Drosophila melanogaster: one gene and its partners. The protein of the gene in region 4 purifies or fractionates together with the protein of the main gene of each other region. This does not show direct contact. Each region holds a gene or a part of one and is shown on either strand. Other genes may lie near its edges.

What was found.
Region 1: the proteins of fax (region 4) and Scamp purify together in Drosophila melanogaster (affinity purification with mass spectrometry, with the first as the bait; one large-scale study listed by BioGRID). This does not show direct contact.
Region 2: the proteins of fax (region 4) and p23 purify together in Drosophila melanogaster (affinity purification with mass spectrometry, with the first as the bait; one large-scale study listed by BioGRID). This does not show direct contact.
Region 3: the proteins of fax (region 4) and Idh3a purify together in Drosophila melanogaster (affinity purification with mass spectrometry, with the first as the bait; one large-scale study listed by BioGRID). This does not show direct contact.

The regions. Positions count from the first base shown.
Region 1 is NC_004354.4:15,445,629-15,451,556, reverse strand, and holds Scamp (scamp), read left to right. Parts: upstream 1-1,673; 5' UTR 1,674-1,789; coding exon 1,790-1,852; intron 1,853-2,048; coding exon 2,049-2,276; coding exon of another isoform or gene 2,277-2,324; exon of another isoform or gene 2,325-2,698; intron 2,699-2,976; coding exon 2,977-3,178; intron 3,179-3,532; coding exon 3,533-3,662; intron 3,663-3,726; coding exon 3,727-4,135; 3' UTR 4,136-5,378; downstream 5,379-5,928. Other genes in the region: Ahcy (adenosylhomocysteinase), read right to left, coding at 1-162, 700-890, 1,142-1,166.
Region 2 is NT_033777.3:9,676,284-9,680,159, forward strand, and holds p23 (p23), read left to right. Parts: upstream 1-1,643; 5' UTR 1,644-1,786; coding exon 1,787-1,803; intron 1,804-2,278; coding exon 2,279-2,365; intron 2,366-2,436; coding exon 2,437-2,693; intron 2,694-2,759; coding exon 2,760-2,953; 3' UTR 2,954-3,375; downstream 3,376-3,876. Other genes in the region: Nepl12 (Neprilysin-like 12), read left to right, coding at 1-381, 441-1,436; nmdyn-D7, read left to right, coding at 3,798-3,876. UniProt on the Drosophila melanogaster protein: Cytosolic prostaglandin synthase that catalyzes the oxidoreduction of prostaglandin endoperoxide H2 (PGH2) to prostaglandin E2 (PGE2).
Region 3 is NC_004354.4:19,518,579-19,523,671, reverse strand, and holds Idh3a (isocitrate dehydrogenase 3a), read left to right. Parts: upstream 1-1,867; 5' UTR 1,868-1,972; coding exon 1,973-1,999; intron 2,000-2,275; coding exon 2,276-2,344; intron 2,345-2,844; coding exon 2,845-3,012; intron 3,013-3,373; coding exon 3,374-3,768; intron 3,769-3,840; coding exon 3,841-3,976; intron 3,977-4,046; coding exon 4,047-4,385; 3' UTR 4,386-4,541; downstream 4,542-5,093. Other genes in the region: CoRest, read right to left, coding at 43-177, 238-285, 357-576. UniProt on the Drosophila melanogaster protein: Probable catalytic subunit of the enzyme which catalyzes the decarboxylation of isocitrate (ICT) into alpha-ketoglutarate.
Region 4 is NT_037436.4:16,408,818-16,413,835, reverse strand, and holds the start of fax (failed axon connections), read left to right. Parts: upstream 1-2,007; 5' UTR 2,008-2,417; coding exon 2,418-2,834; intron 2,835-5,018. Other genes in the region: Serinc (serine incorporator), read right to left, coding at 33-588, 956-991. UniProt on the Drosophila melanogaster protein: Together with Abl, involved in embryonic axonal development.

The DNA of each region.
Region 1 (5,928 bases), on a different chromosome or scaffold from region 4:
GTTCAGGGGCTGGCCGTCGGGGAAGACCAAGGTCTGCTCGATGCACCACATGTACTCCTCATCGGTCTCACCCTTCCAGGCGTACACGGGCACGCCGGTGGCAGCGATGGCCGCGGCAGCATTATCCTGGGTGCTGAAGATGTTGCAGCTGGACCATTGGACCTGGATAAAAGAATGAAAATGTAGTTCATGCGTTGAAGTTGAGATGTGGATGGGAAGGAACCTAAATTATATAGATATTTGCAAACTGATTTGCATTGCATATAGGATTGATCTATATCAGGAAATCTATGTATTTCAGGACATCAGCATTTGGCAGAAAATAGTTGCCATGTGCGAGGATTGAAGCAGATGGTGCTGCGTCAGAGGAAATAACAATCTGGAGGTCTTATCTTGGGCGCCTTGAACTTGCCCCCCTGCTGTTAAACGAAAGTTTTGTTATTCAAATTGGTGCGTAAACCAAAGGTGATAAGGGACCAGCCCTTGGACAATGCTTGGAGATACCTATCTTTCTACCTAATTTACAATTTCCTTACGGAATTTTGGTCGGTTTTATGGTTTTTGAAATGGTTTTTAGTATTGAAATGATGCTATCTTTGTGTATTATCCCGACTGTTCAGACCTACAGTTGGGCATACAATTCGAATGGTGGTACGATGCATAAAATCATTTAGAGCGCCAAAGAGGCACTGAACCCACCTGAGCGCCCAGTTCGACGAGGGTCTCGATGAGCACGGCGGTCTGGACGGTCATGTGCAGGCAGCCGGTGATGCGGGCGCCCTTGAGGGGCTTAGATGGGCCGTACTTCTTCCTGCAGGCCATCAGACCGGGCATCTCGTTCTCCGCAATAATGATCGCCTTGCGTCCCCATTCCGCCAGACTGATATCGGCTGTCGAGTGGGATATAAAAGGGAGATAGGGTCAGATAAGCAGGCACTGTTGATTTATACACCATACGGTCTGAATTTCTACGTTTTTTGCCCCAGCAACAACGTGCTCTCCTCTGTTTTGTCTCTCTTTTAACCTCAGAAACATGTGCTCATGAATAGATGCAATTCACCCGCACATGTCGCCTGTTGCCGGCCGGAGATTCGATTCGAGAGTTTGCCATCCGTTTGGGTTTATTTATAACGCAACTCACCGACTTTGTAGCTGGGCTTCGACATTCTTGCAAGGATTGGATGTTTGACTTGGATGCGGAGCAGACAGAATCGCACACAACCGAATTGGAGACGCGGGCAGCGGTAAATGAATCGAATCGCAACCCAAGACACTAGAATTCCAATTGCGGAATGGCGGCCCCAGGGATGGGAACTGGTTCCACGCAGCTGGTTCAGCTGGAGCAGTTCCGATTGGCACGATTGTTGCCATTTAAATTTAAAATTCATATGATAACTGCTGGTTTACATCCAATTGTATATAGAATCTTTTCTTTTTGCTATCATTTTAATAAAATGTATTAATAGGTCCTAAAAAATCAGACCATTGTATACCAGTTATTCACATTTTTCAGAATTCTAGATTAATGTTAAATGTGTTAAATAATAAGTTTTTCTGCCAAAATGAATTTAATATGTAATTCAAATAACATTAATTCTTTAAAGTAATTCTTTCGATATTTGAGGCCTACACTTTGATTCCCAACGAAAGCTTATCGATGCTGAACCATCACTAAAACCGACATCGATAACTGAGCAGAGTCTTAGGGAAAATATACACAGCGAAAAGCAAAGTGCGAGTCAGTGCGTTTTTCTGGTCATTGAACAGCCGTATCCAAAGTAGAATTCCCATGTCCGGCTCCGGTCTCGACGAGAATCCCTTCGGGGAGCCCAATCTGGACAATCCGTTTGCGGTGAGGCGATAGAAGAGCTAGGAGAGAGAGCGCGGAAGCCGAAGAAAAAACCCATCGCACACACACGCACACGTACGCAAAGGTGGGGTGTTGGTGTGCGTGCCTGTGAGTGTAGTGTGTGTGTGTGTTGGGTGCATTCGTCACATATGTTGAATGAATTGGTTTCTGATTGGGATTTCCCGGTTTTCCCCCGCAGGACCCCGCCATCCAGCAGGCACGACGACTCCAGAGCGGCGCCGCCCTTGTCTCTCTTGAGGATTACAATCCATTCGAGGAGCAGGCCAAGCCGCAGCTGCAGATCAACTCAACGAACACGGCGGCGGTGGTCCAGCCGCTATCGCAGAACATTCCGCCCCCGCAGACCAGTTCCCTGGGCGCCTCGGCGCCTAGCACCAGCATACAGATCACCTCGGAGGAGCTGCAGGTAACCCACTTGGCCGGTCGTCTCGCGTTACCGCCCACACAACAGTGAGCACTCTGCGGTGTGCTGTGCCGGCATGGCCACATCCGCAATACTCCAAAAACCGCATATGTACATCCAAATACTCGGAAACAATCGAAATGGACCACACCACACAGTTACACTAAAAGTTTGCCCTAAAAGTCTGTACAGTAATCACTTTGCTAGAGTGCCGGGATTAGGGCAGGCATATCACATTTTACTCTCCATCAAGAGTCAGAAAGATAAGCGGGCTTATCTCGATCTGCCAACGATATATCCGCTTTGGAGCATTTATCTGGTTGAGACTAGAAGCGGCTGCCGCGCCGAGTCTTCACTGTGCAAACTGCGGTTTCTCTTGATTTACTTGGCTTCTTCGGCCCTACACAATAATTCAAGAAATACTAGTTAGTAGATCTAAATACATATGATTTGGAGGCTTAAGTTTGCACTTTATTCTTGTACAGAATATTTCCTATAGATAGGCCAAATGCCTGAGGTTAAGATAGAAGTTTAACAAACTCAAGATTTGGATGTGAATTCCTATCATTGAATTTCGCCTTTGTTTTCCCAAATATGTAAATGAATAAGATTTAAAGTATTTACCATATACGGCCAATTTATTAAGTCATACAAAATGTATATATAAAACAGTCGATAATCATATGATTTTCATTGTATCCAGCGCCGGCAGGAGGAGTTGGACCGCAAGGCCGCCGAACTGGACCGCCGCGAGCAGCAGCTACAGGGCAATGTGCCGCAGCTGAACAACTGGCCACCGCTGCCGGATAACTTTTGTGTAAAGCCGTGCTTCTACCAGGACTTCGAGGTGGAGATACCGCCCGAGTTCCAGAAACTGGTCAAGCGATTGTATTACATTTGGATTTGTGAGTATTGGTTCTTTATGGCTGTGTTTTCTACATGTTTTCGCTGATAAGCGGTGCCATAGGTTGTGGAATTAGTCATCGCGTGTCGTCTACAGGCCGATGCCATTATTAATCAGATATAGCTGAATGGCTAATGGTCTTGGATGTGTGCGTGCCTTTGTGCAGAATATGCTTGCAAAGAGGGGAGCATGAAATTTGTTTGATTTACATGTTATCAGTATTAAGATAGTTTTTAAATGCATTTCTAGCATTATTTACTGCATGCATAGTATATAGTATATAATAATGCTTTCCCCTACAGATTATAGCATTATGCTGATTGTATGTGTCTATTTTGAATACTTTCTCCGACAGTTTACACCATGACGTTGTTGGCCAACGTGATAGGCGGTCTAATTTTGCTGTTCCACGCTGGCGAATTCGAGACCTTCTTCCTGGCCATCTTCTACACGATGCTCTTCTCGCCCGCCTCCTATGTCTGCTGGTGAGTTTATACCTGGAAGATTCTTAAAACATGAATAATGTGATGATGTGTGATTAATTTTCAGGTTCCGACCGGCGTACAAGGCATTCCGCAACGATTCGAGCTTCAACTTCATGGTCTTCTTCTTCATCTACTTCTTTCAAACGCTGTACTCGATTGTGCAGGCGGTGGGCTTCAACAAGATGGGCTACTGTGGCTTTATTACGGCCATCGGGCAGTTCGATGGGCAAGCGTCGGGTATTATCGTCGGCATTCTGCTGTTGAACGTGGCATTCTGTTTCACAGCGGTGGCCGTGGCCAATGTGCTGATGATCACAAAGATTCACTCGATCTACCGCAGCACAGGGGCCAGTATGGCCAAGGCCCAGGCGGAGTTCACCACCGAGTTTCTGCGCAACCAGCACGTCCAGGAAGCAGCCTCCTCGGCCGTTAATACGGCCATCAATTCGCAGTTTAACAACAGCAGGTACTAAGTGACACTCTGCTTTCCGGGGATCTAATCAAATCAAAAGGAGAATCAATCAATCAACCACGAACTCAAGCAGCACTCATCCTGCTTAACTGGGACAGAAAAAGATGATGATAGCCGCGCCAGAGAGAGGGAGATGGAGAAAGAACACTTAATAAACATTGAAATAGCTTAACACGAAATGAAAGTAAAGAAAAACATGAAACTAAAGCTAGCATTGGAGCATGGAACTAATAACTATTTGCTTTTGTGCATAAACAATTCCTAGAATGCCGTCGTCTTTATTACAAATAATTACTGTAATGATAACACAGAAACAACACACAATGCATAAACAATATTTATAAACGGAACAAAACCGAACTTGGAACTAAACTGAAAGTGAAAAAAAAACCAAACAAAAAGGAGAAAACAAAAAAACAAAAGGAAAACTAAAGCGGCCCACGATGCCTTCGACACGCAGCTGCAGCGGATCAAGTAGACAGGACATCTTAATCGCACGATATATGCCTCCAAATACAAGTATCTAGACTAAATTATTGTGTGTCTGTCTCTGTCCTGTGGAATAATTCGATTCTGATACTAACCCAGATTAATCAGGCGAAAGGGATGACACTGATGACGATGATGCTGCTGCTGCTGCTGCTGATGATGATGTTTTCTAGTTCTTTAAGTCATTAAAACGATATAGGAATAACCCCACTCCCTCGCACACGCAACACACACACACACACACACTCACATATATACGATCTTATATATATAACAAACATAATATAAATAATATATTTAACGCTTACATTATAGAACTTTATCTCTCGTCGCCTCGACCAGAGAGACAACAAGAAAGCGAAATTCATTTTTCATCCAAGCTGTGCTCCTACGCCCACTGCTCCACTGTCCCCCTCTCCTCCCTCCCCCCTGTTCCATGTCCCGACCCCCTTTTTCCGCCGTCACTGTCCTGCACTCACATAAAATGTCGTGTTTTTTTGTAATCGTAATTGTTATATATTATCTATTATCTATGTACATGAAGACAGCATATAAAATATATTGATTCACTTAAGTATTCACATTTTTTAGATACATTTTGTTCGTTTCTGTTTTGCTTGCAAGTCAAACTTATTATGTTACGACCTATTTAAAACTGAATTGAGAATAGCTAATGACGATCTATGGATGTGTATTTAAAATTCAAGCAAAATTTATGATAAATTCCAAAATAAATATAAAATACTTATAGATGTACAATAAGCATTGATTTTGAATTTATGGGTTGTTTGGTACTCATTTCTAGAGAATTCAAATGCATAATTTGGTGCGTAATTAAAGGGGTATAAAGACTTTTGAGATATTCATATTATTTATCTGCAAATCCCAGCCTTGAAACGCAATAATCAGGCTTAAATTCTTGGTTTATTACTGCTGGTTATCTGCATGGAGGTATTTACACAATTTATATAATAGATAGAACTGCCATCAATGCTTGTGTTTATATTAGTCAGTTTGCTTATAGATTTTAATCTTGAGTTTGTTTTGTATAAATAAATTCCAATAAAATTGAAAACCCCACAAAATGACTGGCAAATAGTTCGGATTACCGCCATAATCGACTCTTAATTAAGAGGAAATGTACAATGTCATTTAAAAGTGCACGAAGACCTTTGATTTCGAGAACTCATTCGATGGAAAATCAATTAGCAAGAAGAAAAGTTTACGTAAGCCAGTCGGTAATTAAGACGATTGAACATGGTCGAAAGTGAATGTTCCTGGAAATGCATAGTTACTGCACCCACG
Region 2 (3,876 bases), on a different chromosome or scaffold from region 4:
AGGGCGTTCGGCTTGCCGGAGGACAGGATTAGGGAGGCCATCGCTGGGGTCTTTGCCTTCTGGCGGGACGCACTCGAGATCCCGCCCCAGTGCGAAGTGTTTGATCCCTACCGAATTAAGCGAGTGTTTCCCCAATCGGAGTACTACTATAACATCTCGTGGAGTGGACTCCACTCCACTAACAAATTATTCTGCGACTTTTACTACGTTGAACTGGACAAAGTATGCGCCCGACATCGCAAGGCTGTGGCCAACTACCTGGCCATGAAGCTGCTCTATAGATTCGATCCCAAACTGAAGGCGCCCAGGTACCAAAGGAACTACTGTTCGGTTACGCTTTATCAATCCATGCGGTTTCTGTTCAACAAACTCTACATGGCTGTGGGTAACGAATGCGTATGATGAGAATACCAAATAATCTCAACACTCTTGTGTTACAGAACAACTTCAGTGAGGCGAAGAGGCTGGAGATGTCGGAAATGGTGCGGGAACTGCGAAAGAGTCTGCGAAAGGCGCTGGAGGATGCCGATTGGCTGGATGCGGAGAGCAGGGCGAGGGCACTGCTTAAGGAGTCCAGAATACAGCCACGCATTGGTTCGTTCCAAGATGATGCACTTTCGGATCGAATAATCCGGGAAATCAACAGTCTGAAAGTCATCGAGGATCGCTATGCGGAGACCAACATTAATTTGCAGCACCTAGTTGTACAAATCAATCGATTTAGCAGTCGGCATTTTCAGGAGCTGACCAATGACACCAAGCCACAGAAGATCCTGACAGGATTGCAGGTTGGAGCGGGCTACTACACTCCGGACAACTCCATTAATGTGATGGCTGGCGTGGTGGAACCACCGATATACCAACGCCACCTGCCGATTTCCCTGAAATTCGGCACATTGGGTTTTATCGTTGGTCATGAACTCATCCACGGCTTCGATACGACCAGCTCCTATTTCGATGGCAATGGTCACATGGAGTCCTTGTTGTCGGAAATTTCGCAACAGGCATTAGAGGATCGCGCCGAGTGCTACATGGACTACTATGGCAAGTACCAGGTACCGGAGATCAGCAGGCGTGTCAACGGAAAAACTACACTGGACGAGAATATCGCAGACAATAGCGGATTAAGACAAGCATTGACGGCCTATCGCAGTCACAGGCAGCAACTGCTGGAGCATCCTGGGCAGGAGAGGATAAGCGACGCCATGCCGGGTCTCGATCTCACGCCGGAACAGTTGTTCTTCCTGGGATTTGCCCAGCTATTTTGCTCCCATTACGAGGAGGAGCACTACTGGAAAGGTCTTAGCGATGTGCACACCTTCGACCAATTTCGTGTCCTGGGAGTTTTGTCCAACAGCGAGGACTTCTTCCACGCCTACAACTGCTCCGTGGGCAGCGGCATGCGTCCTGGCGCCAAAACGTGCCGACTTTGGTAGATCATAGATTTATAATCATCATCATAAATTCCTTGAACCAAATAAAAGTTGATTTCAATACTTTTTACCGACAATGTAAAATGTTTTGACACAACACTTCAAATTTACGTTACACGTAACAAGCTAACATTTGTGGTTTGAGTACAACTATCGAAGTTTCGCACCCCAGAGCACCGTTCAAATTTAGTCACATCTCCGCAGCGCGCTCGGTAACTCTGTTTCTCATGTCAATTTTGTGCATGACAATTTTGTTCAACAGAAACTGCCTTTTTTTGTAACCAAGTCAGGCTGTCAGTCAGAAGTGTTCCGACTTCGTAAAACATAAACCAACAATTCACAGCAACAACATAATGTCGGCAGCAGCAGGGTGAGTCCACAACCGGCCATCTCAGTGCCAATCGGCGATAGCCGGACCATCTTTTTGTGGCTTCTTTGTGCGTCGCGTGCTTTGTCGTTGCGGCGGCGTCCATTTTCGAACTCCCGGCCGTGAAAAACACATAATTTTCGTTCGGATGACCCTTATTCTCGCGCTCATCCGCCTGGCCAAGCGTTTGTGTCCACGGTGGGCGTGTCCTGTGCGCATCTGCATTGCGATATTTGTGGAACTAATCGGAGGGTCCAGTGTTTGAGGTTATGTTTTCGGCTGGCGGTAATGCCGTGCATTTTCGGCATGGACTTTTGCCTGGGCTTATGGTTTATGCAAATCTAGCTAGCTGGGAAGCTATTTACATAGTTCGTGCACCCGCTTCCAGAAAGTCCGACGCGAGTTGCCATGGCAACGGATCTCGCACAACGACATGAAGCTCTTATTTATGTTTATCCAACTTGATCCTCCATTGCAGCTTGATTCCGCCTCCAGTTTCCTGGGCCCAGCGCAATGACTTGATCTACGTCATCATCGATGTCGAATGCAAGGACATCGAACACAAGTATATGCCCCCATATGTAGTATGTCCATGCTCCTTGCACATCCTAATTCCATATATTTATCCCAAAACAGAGTTACGGAAAAAACCTTCACCTTCAAGGGCGTAAACGTGCTGGATCCGTCGAAGAAGTACGAGGTCACACTGAACTTCCTCCACGAGGTGGATCCCGAGAAGGTGACCAGCAAGAACATTGGCCGCTGCCTGGAATTCACAATACCCAAGAAGGCGGCCGGTCCCTACTGGTCCTCGCTGACCACGGACAAGACCAAGTTGCATTTCCTAAAAGCCAACTTTGCCAAGTGGCGCGATGAGTCCGACGACGAGGAGGGTAAGTTGACATCCTCATCCCCAAGATCTCATCCAGCAAACCCACTCATACAAACGCACTTTGCAGGTGACCAAAAAGACAACAGCATGTTTGGAAATTTCCTTAACAGCCCTGGTGGCGATTGGAACAACAAGTTCGACGATTTCAACGTCGATGACGAGGAGGAGGACTCGGATGACAACATCCCAAGTCTGTCCCAGAACGACGAGGATGACGAGGAGGGCGGCGAGGGTGATAAGGAGAAGAAGCCAGCTGCCTAGACGGTCGCTCAGATGGTGTCTCGCAATTTGGCGTAGTCGTAGCGTTAGGCGTGGCTCTTATACCATAAGTCAGCACACGATCACAACACTCACTCCTCACATACACACCAGAAAAGAAAAAGAAGAAACACTCAATCACTCATAAAACATCCACAAACGCATGCGTACATGAAACACTATTCCAATCGAAGAAAACCACATTTAATATACCTGAATATTATGCGTATTCAGAGGAGAGATGTTAACAAAAAGCAACACAAGGAACAAGATGATTTGGCGCCGACAAGGGAAACCATAAGTTTTACGCTAGAATTTAACAACCAGAGGAAAGCTACAACCAATTTATTGCAAAAATCAGTTTGCAGTTTATTATTTTTGTTTCCTGTAAATAAAGGAAATTAACAATAAAAAAAATGAAAAACTTATATTCGGCTTTTTATTTTCAATATTTTATAAGTTTACAACATTCTATAAATGTTCTAGAAATCTCTAAACTGTTAAATTCGGAATGCGCAGTCCAGCTTCTTAAAGATGTCGCAAAGAAGGCTTTATCTTTGAATAGATAGCGATTTTAAAAAGAAATTATAGGTAATGGTTAAAAATTGTTTATGGGTAATCCCCTAGAATTTGGGTTTAAAATTAACATAGGTATTTTTTTCTTTAAATTTTGCGCCCACTTAAATGAATTTTGTTATGTTGGCAACACTGTTGCTGTGACAACGCGGGAAAGAAGAAGCACAATTGAAATGCAAAGCAAACAAACAGTTATCACTCGAAATAAAGGACTTGCTGTCAAGCGATAGAACGGAAAAGCAAGGTATAAGATTCCCCTCAAAACGATACCATGAAACCCGCTGCGATTCCGGCTAGCGAGCGGCGTCTGGCCTTCGTGGCCGAGTGGTTCCATGCAGAGGCTGGAATCA
Region 3 (5,093 bases), on a different chromosome or scaffold from region 4:
CAACCCAGAGATCAAATGGGCAAGTAAGCCACTAATACGTACATTTCAGATCAGGAATCTCCTTGGTGGGCGACCATACGAGGAGGGCGCGTTCGTTCATTTGTTCCGGGCGGCGCTCCGCTTCCGGAACGAGCGGCGGACAAACCGCCTGGTAGTCGCGTCCAACGCGGATTTTCTCTATGAAATGAAAATTTGTTTAAAGACCACATCGTGCGGAAAAAGACTACAGGTACTCACCTTCGTACTCAGACTGCTTGGCCTTGCTCTTGCCGTTCCGTTTGGTGGCTGGAAAAGGGAGACGGTACAGATAAGTGGGCTGAAGTGGCAGGAAGGTAATTCCGGGGCGTTTCACTTACAGTTGTCGTCGTCGGAGCTCTCCGGCGTGCCTGCACCTGGCACAGCTGTGGTGGTCTTCTCGTTCGCATTGGCGTTCCCGGAGTGGCCGCTGTTGTTGCCGCTGCCCACGAGGCTGGCGCTGTTGGTGACGCCGCCCGTGGTGTGCGTATTGGGACTGGGGCCGCGCGAACGGCGCCCGTTGCGCACCACATCCGTGGTGTTGCGCTCCGCCAACACCATCTTGTCCCGGATGAGCTGGGCGCGCTTGTTATGCTTCTCCAGGGTGCTAGTTTTGGCTAAACACGAGCACTAGCGAACACGAGCACTGCGGAGCTGCAAGAACAGTGGGGACATGTGTTAACGACTGATTCGGACACGGATGACAGCCGTACTCTGCTCTCCGGCTGAAAAATCCAGCAAATAGAAACTCTGCACCGCGTTTGGCGAGAGTGTGCGCTTGGCAAGAGGCACTTTTCCCGCAACGAGCGCAGAAGTGCGCTGTCAAACAGATACATTCATAAGTGTGCGTGCGTCCGTGTGAGCGTATGCGCGTGTATTGCGTGTGCTAGCGACGCGTGTATAGGTGTATGGGTGAGGGCCAAGCCAGCTGAGTTTGGAAACGGCAATGCATTTGGATTTGAATGCAGGAATCCGAATCTGGCTGGACGGAGGGACACGGAGGGACTCGGAGGACGCCTACCTGGTACTCTGGTGCCCCACAAGCACACAACCGAAGACGCTGCCACACGGATCTCACTGCACGTACCGTTTTCGCCCGCTTACGCAGTACGGCCTGCCGGACGCGGAGCTGGGGCTACTTGGAAAGGAGTACTCTTGGCCAGAAACTCCAGATACGGAACGCTGCGAACGGCTGGTCAGTGGAGTTGTTGCGCGCAGGTAACTGAAATCCAAACTGAAACGCGGAAAAAAAAACTCACTCGCGTACCGATTCTCTCTGGTCGTCCGTGGGCACAGCGCACTTTGTCGCCGACGACCGCAGTTCAGCTTTGTCTGTCGGTTGATCCGATTTTTTGCCCTCGCCTGGCTTCTCGACAGGCGGCCCCTTGGATTATCCTATCCCCGTTTTCGTTGGAGATCGAGAAACGGCTTCGCTTGCCCCTTTTTGATGGACACTCTCAGCACTTTTTCTAGAATATACGTCAGAAAACTGAGCGAATGCTCAAATTAATTTAAACTGTGGCTGTAGCAGCCACGGTTGCAAGGGATACACAAACTATCGATTAGGCCGCTCCGATATTTCGCTTTTGCCCTGTACAGGGATGCCACACGGCAGGCTGTACTGAATTTCGGGCAGACGACATCGATATTCGACATCTGTTTATTCACAGCCAACTTTAATGTGGTTTTACGCCATACATATGATGCTCGTACAGCAATTATGTGACTGATGCAAGCGAGAGCATACAAATACGGGGATATGGGTGATTTGTAATTCCACCCCCATCTGAGCGCAGTCCAGGTGGCAACGACGCTGCCCCCGCATGCCTATCGACCGATATACCGCAGATTCGCCAGTTTTCCGCAAGGTGGCGACTACGGCGGGCGCAGACTAAAAAGACAGACTTTTTTCTATATAATATACGGCAGGAATCAGTGCAAAAACCGATCCAACGCAATGGCTGCTAGATTCATACAGAAAATTGTAAGACCCGTTTAGGCTTAAGCGACTTGACCCGCCCCGCGTCGCGCCTCTTAACCCCACCATACAGCGACCAAACCAATTCTGCAGGACAGCAGTTGATTACGTGCTGGCCAAAAAGTACTGGCCAACTACCACTAACATTGCGATTTTGTTTCTCGTCCGACGCTCCTGCCCTCCAACTCCACGCCCGCTAACCAACCCTGCAAACCACCGATGCAATGATCTGCGATTCCGCGATTCCCAACGACAACAACACATTACGCAAAACACTTGCAGCTCAATCAACTGGGTTTGATTGCAGCGCGTGATGCTCCGGCGGTGACTGCGACGCCAGCAGTGAGCCAGGTTGGTTCCATAACAGCGGCGGCAGCGACGGAACCATCCGGGATCCGCAGTGGGGGCCACCACCTCCTTCGCCAGGACATCAGCTGTCCGTCCGGCGAAAACGAAAAGAGCACAGCATTAGAATTCGCATTCACTTTACATAACACTCTCTCTCTCGCTCCCTCGTTGCGTGGCCGAGATATCGATAACGGCGGGCAGGGCGGGTGGTTCGGACCCTCGAAAATCCCACCCCCTACTCGAGAGGCGGGAAAAAATCAGTTACCGAGATTGGGCCCTGATTTGCGGCCTTATCAGCGCCGTGGGAATCATTTGTGCACTCTAACCTCAACGCGACGAACTGTTTGGCACGGGGGGTAGGGCGGACGGGATTTTTGTTTGGCATGGGCACTTATGTAATCCCGCTAGATGCTGCTGCTGTTGCTGCTGCCCATCTATGCGTTTTCTCGCCACCATTTCTGTAGATCACTCTGTAACCCGCCTATGGTCTTGCTATTTTCCAGGTCAACGCGACTCCCGCCGCCAGCCGGTCCTACTCCTCCGGCACCAAGAAAGTCACCCTCATCCCTGGCGATGGCATCGGACCTGAGATCTCTGCGGCCGTGCAGAAAATCTTCACCGCCGCCAATGTCCCCATCGAGTGGGAGGCCGTGGACGTGACCCCCGTCCGGGTAAGTGTCGTAATCCCAGCCAGAGTTAGTGGTTCAACTTGACATTTCAAATCCAAGTTGAGCGCCATCGCCTTCGAAGCGCGTGGCCGTTTGACAACAGGTGGCAACTACGGTCGTCTGGGCGGTAAATTTGAAATACAACCAGGCTCTAGTTAACATTCCATTGCCATATATTCGATATAAATGCCAAATCAATGGATACGAATCCATGCAATATTTTCGCCAAATATTAATTTGCTCTGTTAAAAGCCAAAAAAAAAATGCATACATATGTCGGAGAAGACGACACATATATAAAACAATTTGCGAGCTAGCTTTATTTATTTACTTCTTATTTCATTTGTGCGTGACATGTTAACAGGGACCCGACGGAAAGTTCGGCATCCCACAGGCCGCCATTGACTCGGTGAACACGAACAAGATCGGCCTGAAGGGTCCTCTGATGACGCCCGTCGGCAAGGGCCATCGGTCTCTGAATCTGGCCCTGCGCAAGGAGTTCAATCTGTACGCCAACGTGCGTCCCTGCCGCAGTCTCGAGGGCTACAAGACGCTGTACGACGATGTGGACGTGGTCACCATCCGTGAGAACACCGAGGGCGAGTACTCCGGCATCGAGCACGAGATCGTCGACGGCGTCGTTCAGAGCATCAAGCTGATCACCGAGGAAGCCTCCAAGCGTGTGGCCGAGTACGCCTTCCAGTACGCCAAGAACAACAACCGCAAGAAGGTCACCGTGGTGCACAAGGCGAACATTATGTAAGTTGGCCACGAGAGCTACTCTTTTTTGTTGTTGTGAAACTAATGCTATTTTCCTACCATTTCTCACAGGCGCATGTCCGATGGTCTCTTCCTGCGCTGCGTCCGCGACATGGCCCAGAAGTTCCCAGAAATCCAGTTCGAAGAGAAGTATCTGGATACGGTGTGCCTGAACATGGTCCAGAACCCCGGAAAATACGACGTGCTGGTGAGTTGAATTACGCAGTCGCTAAAGTATAGTATCAGCGACTAAGCTAATGCCGTCTCCATAATGCCAGGTCATGCCCAATCTGTACGGTGATATTCTGTCTGACATGTGCGCCGGTTTGGTGGGCGGCCTCGGCCTGACGCCCTCCGGCAACATGGGCCTGAACGGTGCCCTGTTCGAGTCTGTGCACGGAACCGCCCCCGATATTGCCGGCAAGGACCTGGCCAATCCCACTGCCCTGTTGCTGTCGGCGGTCATGATGCTGCGCCACATGGAGCTCAACACGTACGCCGATAAAATCGAGCGTGCCGCCTTCGAGACCATCAAGGAGGGCAAATACCTCACCGGCGATCTGGGCGGCCGTGCCAAGTGCTCCGAGTTCACGAACGAGATCTGTGCCAAGCTGTAGACGACGGATCACGGACCATCCGCATAAGCTGTAGCAAGTATCGCCAACCATAACAACAACCGATGAGAACAGAGCAGAGAATTACGCCAGGAATATTGCGCAGAGAAGGAGGATGATGCAGTATGAACAACAGCAATTAAACACTCGCCCCAAACCAAAAAAAAAAAAAAAATGTAGCAGCAGCAGCAGCAACAGCAACAACAGCACTCACTAAACTTTGCCGAAAGTTTCCTACGTTTCCTACCTTTTTACAAATTGTGCCAGCAGCACCGCTCGCCCCGAAAACAACAACAAAATTTCTATATAGCTAACACTACCTAAAGTATTTTTATGTTCGAATACCTAGGTATATTATTTAATTTGCTTAGGCCAAACTTGCAAGCGTTAAAATTCGTTAAATTGCCAATTTTACTTGCGATAGTAAAGTATTTTTGTCGCCATCCAGCCAACACCTTGAGTTATTATTGTTTATATAATTCGTATGCAAAATGATAATCTTATTTAATTTATTGATTATTAATTCTCTAATTTGTTTAGCCCCTTGAGTTGAGTTCAGTTGAGTTAAGTGAGCTCCTTGTGCTGTGCAGCGTGCAGCCGATACTCTTAAAAAAGAATAGAAAGCAATTTTTTGTCAAATTCGAGGCAAAACGTGTGAACGTGAAGCCAGGACTAGTGGAAAGTTGAGTGCAAACGGTTACAATAATTTAA
Region 4 (5,018 bases):
TCATTTGGGAGATGGGCCGGAACATGACTCACCTATCCAGTTTTCAGCCAGCGAGTGAGCGAAATCCACAATGATGACCAGCTGGACGAGTATGAAGGCCAGGCCACCAATTAGACCCACCCACATCATGGCCGGACCAAAGGATCCATCCGGAATAAAGATGGCTCCAATCGCAGCGCCAAAGCAGATCAGAAATTTCAGTGGCCAAAAGTTGTTCTGGATGTGCGAACGCGGATCCCTGGAGCTCTTCACACCCAGCATAATCAGTGACATCAGAGCGAAAAAGCAGGCCATGCCAAAGCAAACCCTATATACTGCCATGTAACCAAGTGCATACTCGCAGTCGACTTGCAGAGATCCTCCCGAGACAGCGCTGAGTGCTCCCGAGCTATACGACGAGGTGGAGTTGATGCAGAAGGGCATCTTCTTCAGGGTGTCCTGCAGTCCAGGGGACAGCGCAATCGCCCCCAGTACGGTGCCCACCAGGAGGATGAAGGCGTACATGAAGCGCGATGAGGAGGCGTTGGTGCAGCTCGGGCAGGCGGAGCAGCACATGCTGGCTGCAGTGCCTCCACAGCACATGGCGCACTGGAAATGCAAGAATTAAGTATTAAATGGAGACGCAATTGAAGAATTATTCTATTTGATCCAACTTGCTAATAAGTTTTGTCAATAATCCGGATTAATTGAATGATCAACCATCGAAAGTTAAGTTTGCAATACATTTTTCATATTGTTTTCAACTTATTAAAAATTTAAAAATTCATTAAAGTATCTAATAGCTCAAATTGCAAGCTAAATCTTTCTTTTAGATGAAAATCATAGCAGCATTCATGAGTATTGTGAAATTAATAAAATGTTGAATTTCTCCGCATTTGAAACATATGTCTGCTTTTATTGATTTGTAGCCAATGTAAAGAATTTTACCTGGCTAATTAGCTCGCAATTTTCTTACCTGAGCGGCTGAACAGATGCCCAAAGCAGCTCCCATTGTTGCAGCAATAAACTTAGATTTTTACTTTAGTCAAACTGCGTTTTTATTAAATTAAACAAATCTTTGTTTGTGAAAATGATAGAGATGGACTATTTACTGCCTATAGTGACTATCGAATACAGCGGCTGGCGATATTTTTCAGCAATCGTAAGCAGTTGTAAATTTAAAAGTAAATGGGATCAATTCTTTCGCATATTTGCATTTTAAAAATGCTCTTTCAATGTCTTAAATTTTTCAATATGTTTCAAATTTTAAAATTTATAGTTTTAAAATTGAAGTAAATTACTGCAATTTTCTGTACTTCCACAGTTGCCATGCTGATTTCTGCAAAAGTCGGGAGGTGCCATCCGTTCCCTATTCAAATTTCAAAACTTCTGCCACTCCCTCCCAGATGGCGCTTTGCAGTTTCTCAAAACAAAATAGTTTGTCTCCTAAAATAAACTAACAAACGTTATAAATAAACATAAAACATTATTGAAAGCTGAATGAGAGAGAAAGTTCAGATCAATTTTTGTGAATTAAATCATAAACTAATATTATATTTTGAATTAACTTAACTATTGTAACAGTTATTGATAGAGTCGAAATAGGTAATACAGAAAAAGGTTCTATTGATAGTAGTTTTAAAAGGGTATCTGTTCAGTCAACCAGCTAATATTACCGCTCATAAATCTTTAAATGTGTACATAAATGGAGATGTTCTTAATTTTAATAAATCTAGTCGCGAAACTCGAAACTTTACCTAAGGATCGAGAAAACATTTGTTCATAAATTGAGCGTAAGCATAATGGAATATTATTTAAAAAGTTACTTAATATCATTCTTTACTTGTGTTATAAATTAGTTGCTTATAATTTAGGTTGACTCCACAATTTTAAAATTTTTACTCATATAAGTTTTTATAAAATCTATTCCTTGATCTTAATTTCCAGTCACTGGAAGTGGGTTATTTTTAGTGCATCTGCACTCGGCCGATTGCATTCGAGAATACGTTCGCACGCGGCATCTGGCCACACTGCCTGCAACGCTAGCTCGCCTTCGCAACGCGAATCCGCTCATTTCAAATTTTCAAACTCCCGAGAGCGGTTGCGGCGGTGTCGAGACAGCGGCTCCTGAATCCATCCGAATCCGAAAGCGAATCGCATCCAGCCAAGATATCCTATCGTGCAGCTGAAACCCGAAACCCGAATCCGAGTTCGAAACGAAACGAATCGCAGTGGTGGTTTCTCTCTCGCTCTCTAGCTCTCCCTCTCTCTCGCGTGTGTGTATGTGTGCGAGTGGCAGGAAAAGTGCGAAGCCGAAATCTTTTTAGCTGAAAGAAAGCGCAACTTCAATTAGCGAAAAGCAAGAGTAGCTAACAAAAAGAAAAGCGGATCGAAAAGTAAAGAAAAACAAAAAAAAAAAACAAAAGCAACAAATCGAAATGGCAAGCGAAGTGGCCCAAATACCCGCCGAGGAAACGCCCGCAGTGGCGGCGGCGGAAAAATCAGAGGAGCCGGAAAAGTCAGCGGCCCCGCCAGCGGACTCAGCGGCCGCTCCAGCTGCCGCCCCCGCAGTGGAGAAGGCTGAGGATGCCGATGGCGAGAAGAAGGACGGCGAGGCCGGAAAGCAGGACAAGCAGCAGGATGGCGAGGAGCCCAAAAAGGACGAGGCGGTGGCAGCACCCGTGGCGACCAAATCGGAAGCCCCGCCCGCCCAGAAATTCAATGTGCACAAGACCAACTTCGAGAAGGACATCATCTATCTGTACCAGTTCTCGCGCACCCCACTGCTGCCCTCCCTGTCGCCCTACTGCCTGAAGGTGGAGACCTGGCTGCGTCTTGTGGGCCTGAAATACGAGGTGAGTGGTGGTCATAAATCCGGGGAAAAAAACCATAGAAAATTCATGAAAACCTCATTATAAATCGAGCCATCATTTGGCATCCTTCAAAGTACCCAGGATAATTAGGGAAAACCCAAAAACGGACTAGGTAGAATCCCAGGAAGAGCCGAAAACTCTCAGATATTCCAGAAATCCCAGATTTTCAAGGCATTTTTGCGGTACAGATTTTTTCCCAGCTCCTGCGGGAGAGAGCGAGAGAGCTCGGGGAAGAGAGCCAGCGCCGCCATCATGGTGTGCTGCTAAGCCTGCCCGTGTGCATGTGTGTGTGTGACCTGCCCTGCCCCGTAACTGAAAAGGGATACATTTGTGCCGCCTTCCCTCTCTCTCCCAGCGCCCATGCCTGTGTGTGTGAACCTGTAGCCTGGTCCTTTGCGCGTGTGTGTGTGCACAGCGTATACATAAAATTTGTGTGTGCGCCGACGCCGCCCCTCACCCCTTCATCTCTTTGTGCTCCCCTTTGCAAAAGTCGTGCTTCAAATTTTGCACTTGCCGACTCTCTCCTTTTGTCTCGCTCCCTCTCTCGCCGTCTGCTCTTTGTCTTTTGTTGCTGCACTGTTTTTTTTTTATTTCACTTTTCTTTCGACTTCTTTTTGCACTGCACGAAAAGTTGTCATCTCTATGCGCTGCATGCATCTTTTCTTAGCATCTTCGAGATCCATGCAACTGTGCTCTCACTCCATCCACACAACAGCAAATTTTCTCTCTGTATACTTTAGCAGGAGCAGCAGCAGCAGCTTGTAATTGCTTTTAATAAAAATTGATGCAGTTTAAGCTGGACTCAGAAATAGCTGTCTCCCTCTTCGCCTTCCAACTCCCCTTCTCCTTTTCCCTTTCTTTTCTTATCCGTTAAGTAGCTGTAATAGTGTTGGGGGCTGGGTGGGGGGAGTGGCAGACAAACAACTGTCAACGACTTCCAATGGTGCCTTCCATTTTGGCTTGTTGTTTTTTCCTTCACTTTTTAAAGCGCGCGATGCGGTTTGCATATTTTTCATATTTTTTCTGTGCGAGAGGAAAAGCGTGTAGTATGTGGTAGTGGCCGGGGGAGAAATGGGTGCGGTCACCCGCACAAAAACTGGCGACGCAATTGCTGTTTAATCTTATTAATTACATTGGTTAATGAAAAACGAGCCCCTTGCGCGGAATGTTAATTGATGCCGTCGCCTTCCAGATGCCGATAAGCAATCGCCCCCATATGTTGCATTCCACGAAGCAATTATGATTGACAGTCCGTCAGTGGCCGCTTTTCGGCCCGCAGCTGGAAATTACTTTCCATTTTCACGATTATTCCCAATTCCACTGATAAGGCGCAGGCTGCCCAAAATACGGCGGCATTCGATTAGTAGGAAGGAGGGAGTGGGGGGTGGGTAAAAAAAAGAGTTCAACAAACTGGGGACCTTTGACATTTCTGGCATGGTTTGTTGTTGCTGCAGCGCGGCATTAATCATGGAAAAAAAGGGAGGGTGACTGACTGTAAATGCAACTGACTAAGCCAGTTTTCCCCCCTGCTGCTTGCGCTCGGCTGCATTTCTTGCCTGCTCTCCTCCTTTGTGTACACACATTCGTCAGTGTAAACAAGAGCAGAAGTTGTTTCTTTATTGATGATAAACCGAATGCATATTTTTTTCACACCACATTGAAGGCGGCGCCCATTAATAAGCACAGCAGCAACAACAACAACAACTGGGCATAAGTTTCGCTTTTGAGGCGGTGGCCCGCATTGCTAGCATTCCTGAGTGTCGCGCTCGTAGATTGTGCAATTAATTTACATTTTCTCTGCCATATGCATTGCGGGCACAGAGCGATTAAAATTCAAATGGAAATGCTGGCGCGCCATTGCATTTGTGCAATATTGCCGGGCTGCAATTTCAAGGTATTCTGGCAACGCTGCTGCCTCTCCTGCTGCAACTGTACATGTGCGAATGTGTGCGTATCGTATGTCCATGTGTGCGTGTGTGTGTATGTTGGGAGGAAATGGAGTTTTTTTGCTTCTCGTTTTTGTATTTTTTACGTTTTATAGCTGCCTTTGTTTTAATTAATAAACCGCATATTTGCATTTAAACAACACACAGTGGACGGCCTTTGTTGTTGCTCACTCGCTCCAGTGCAATTCTCCCGCTCTCGCTCTCTCTCTCTGGAACTTCT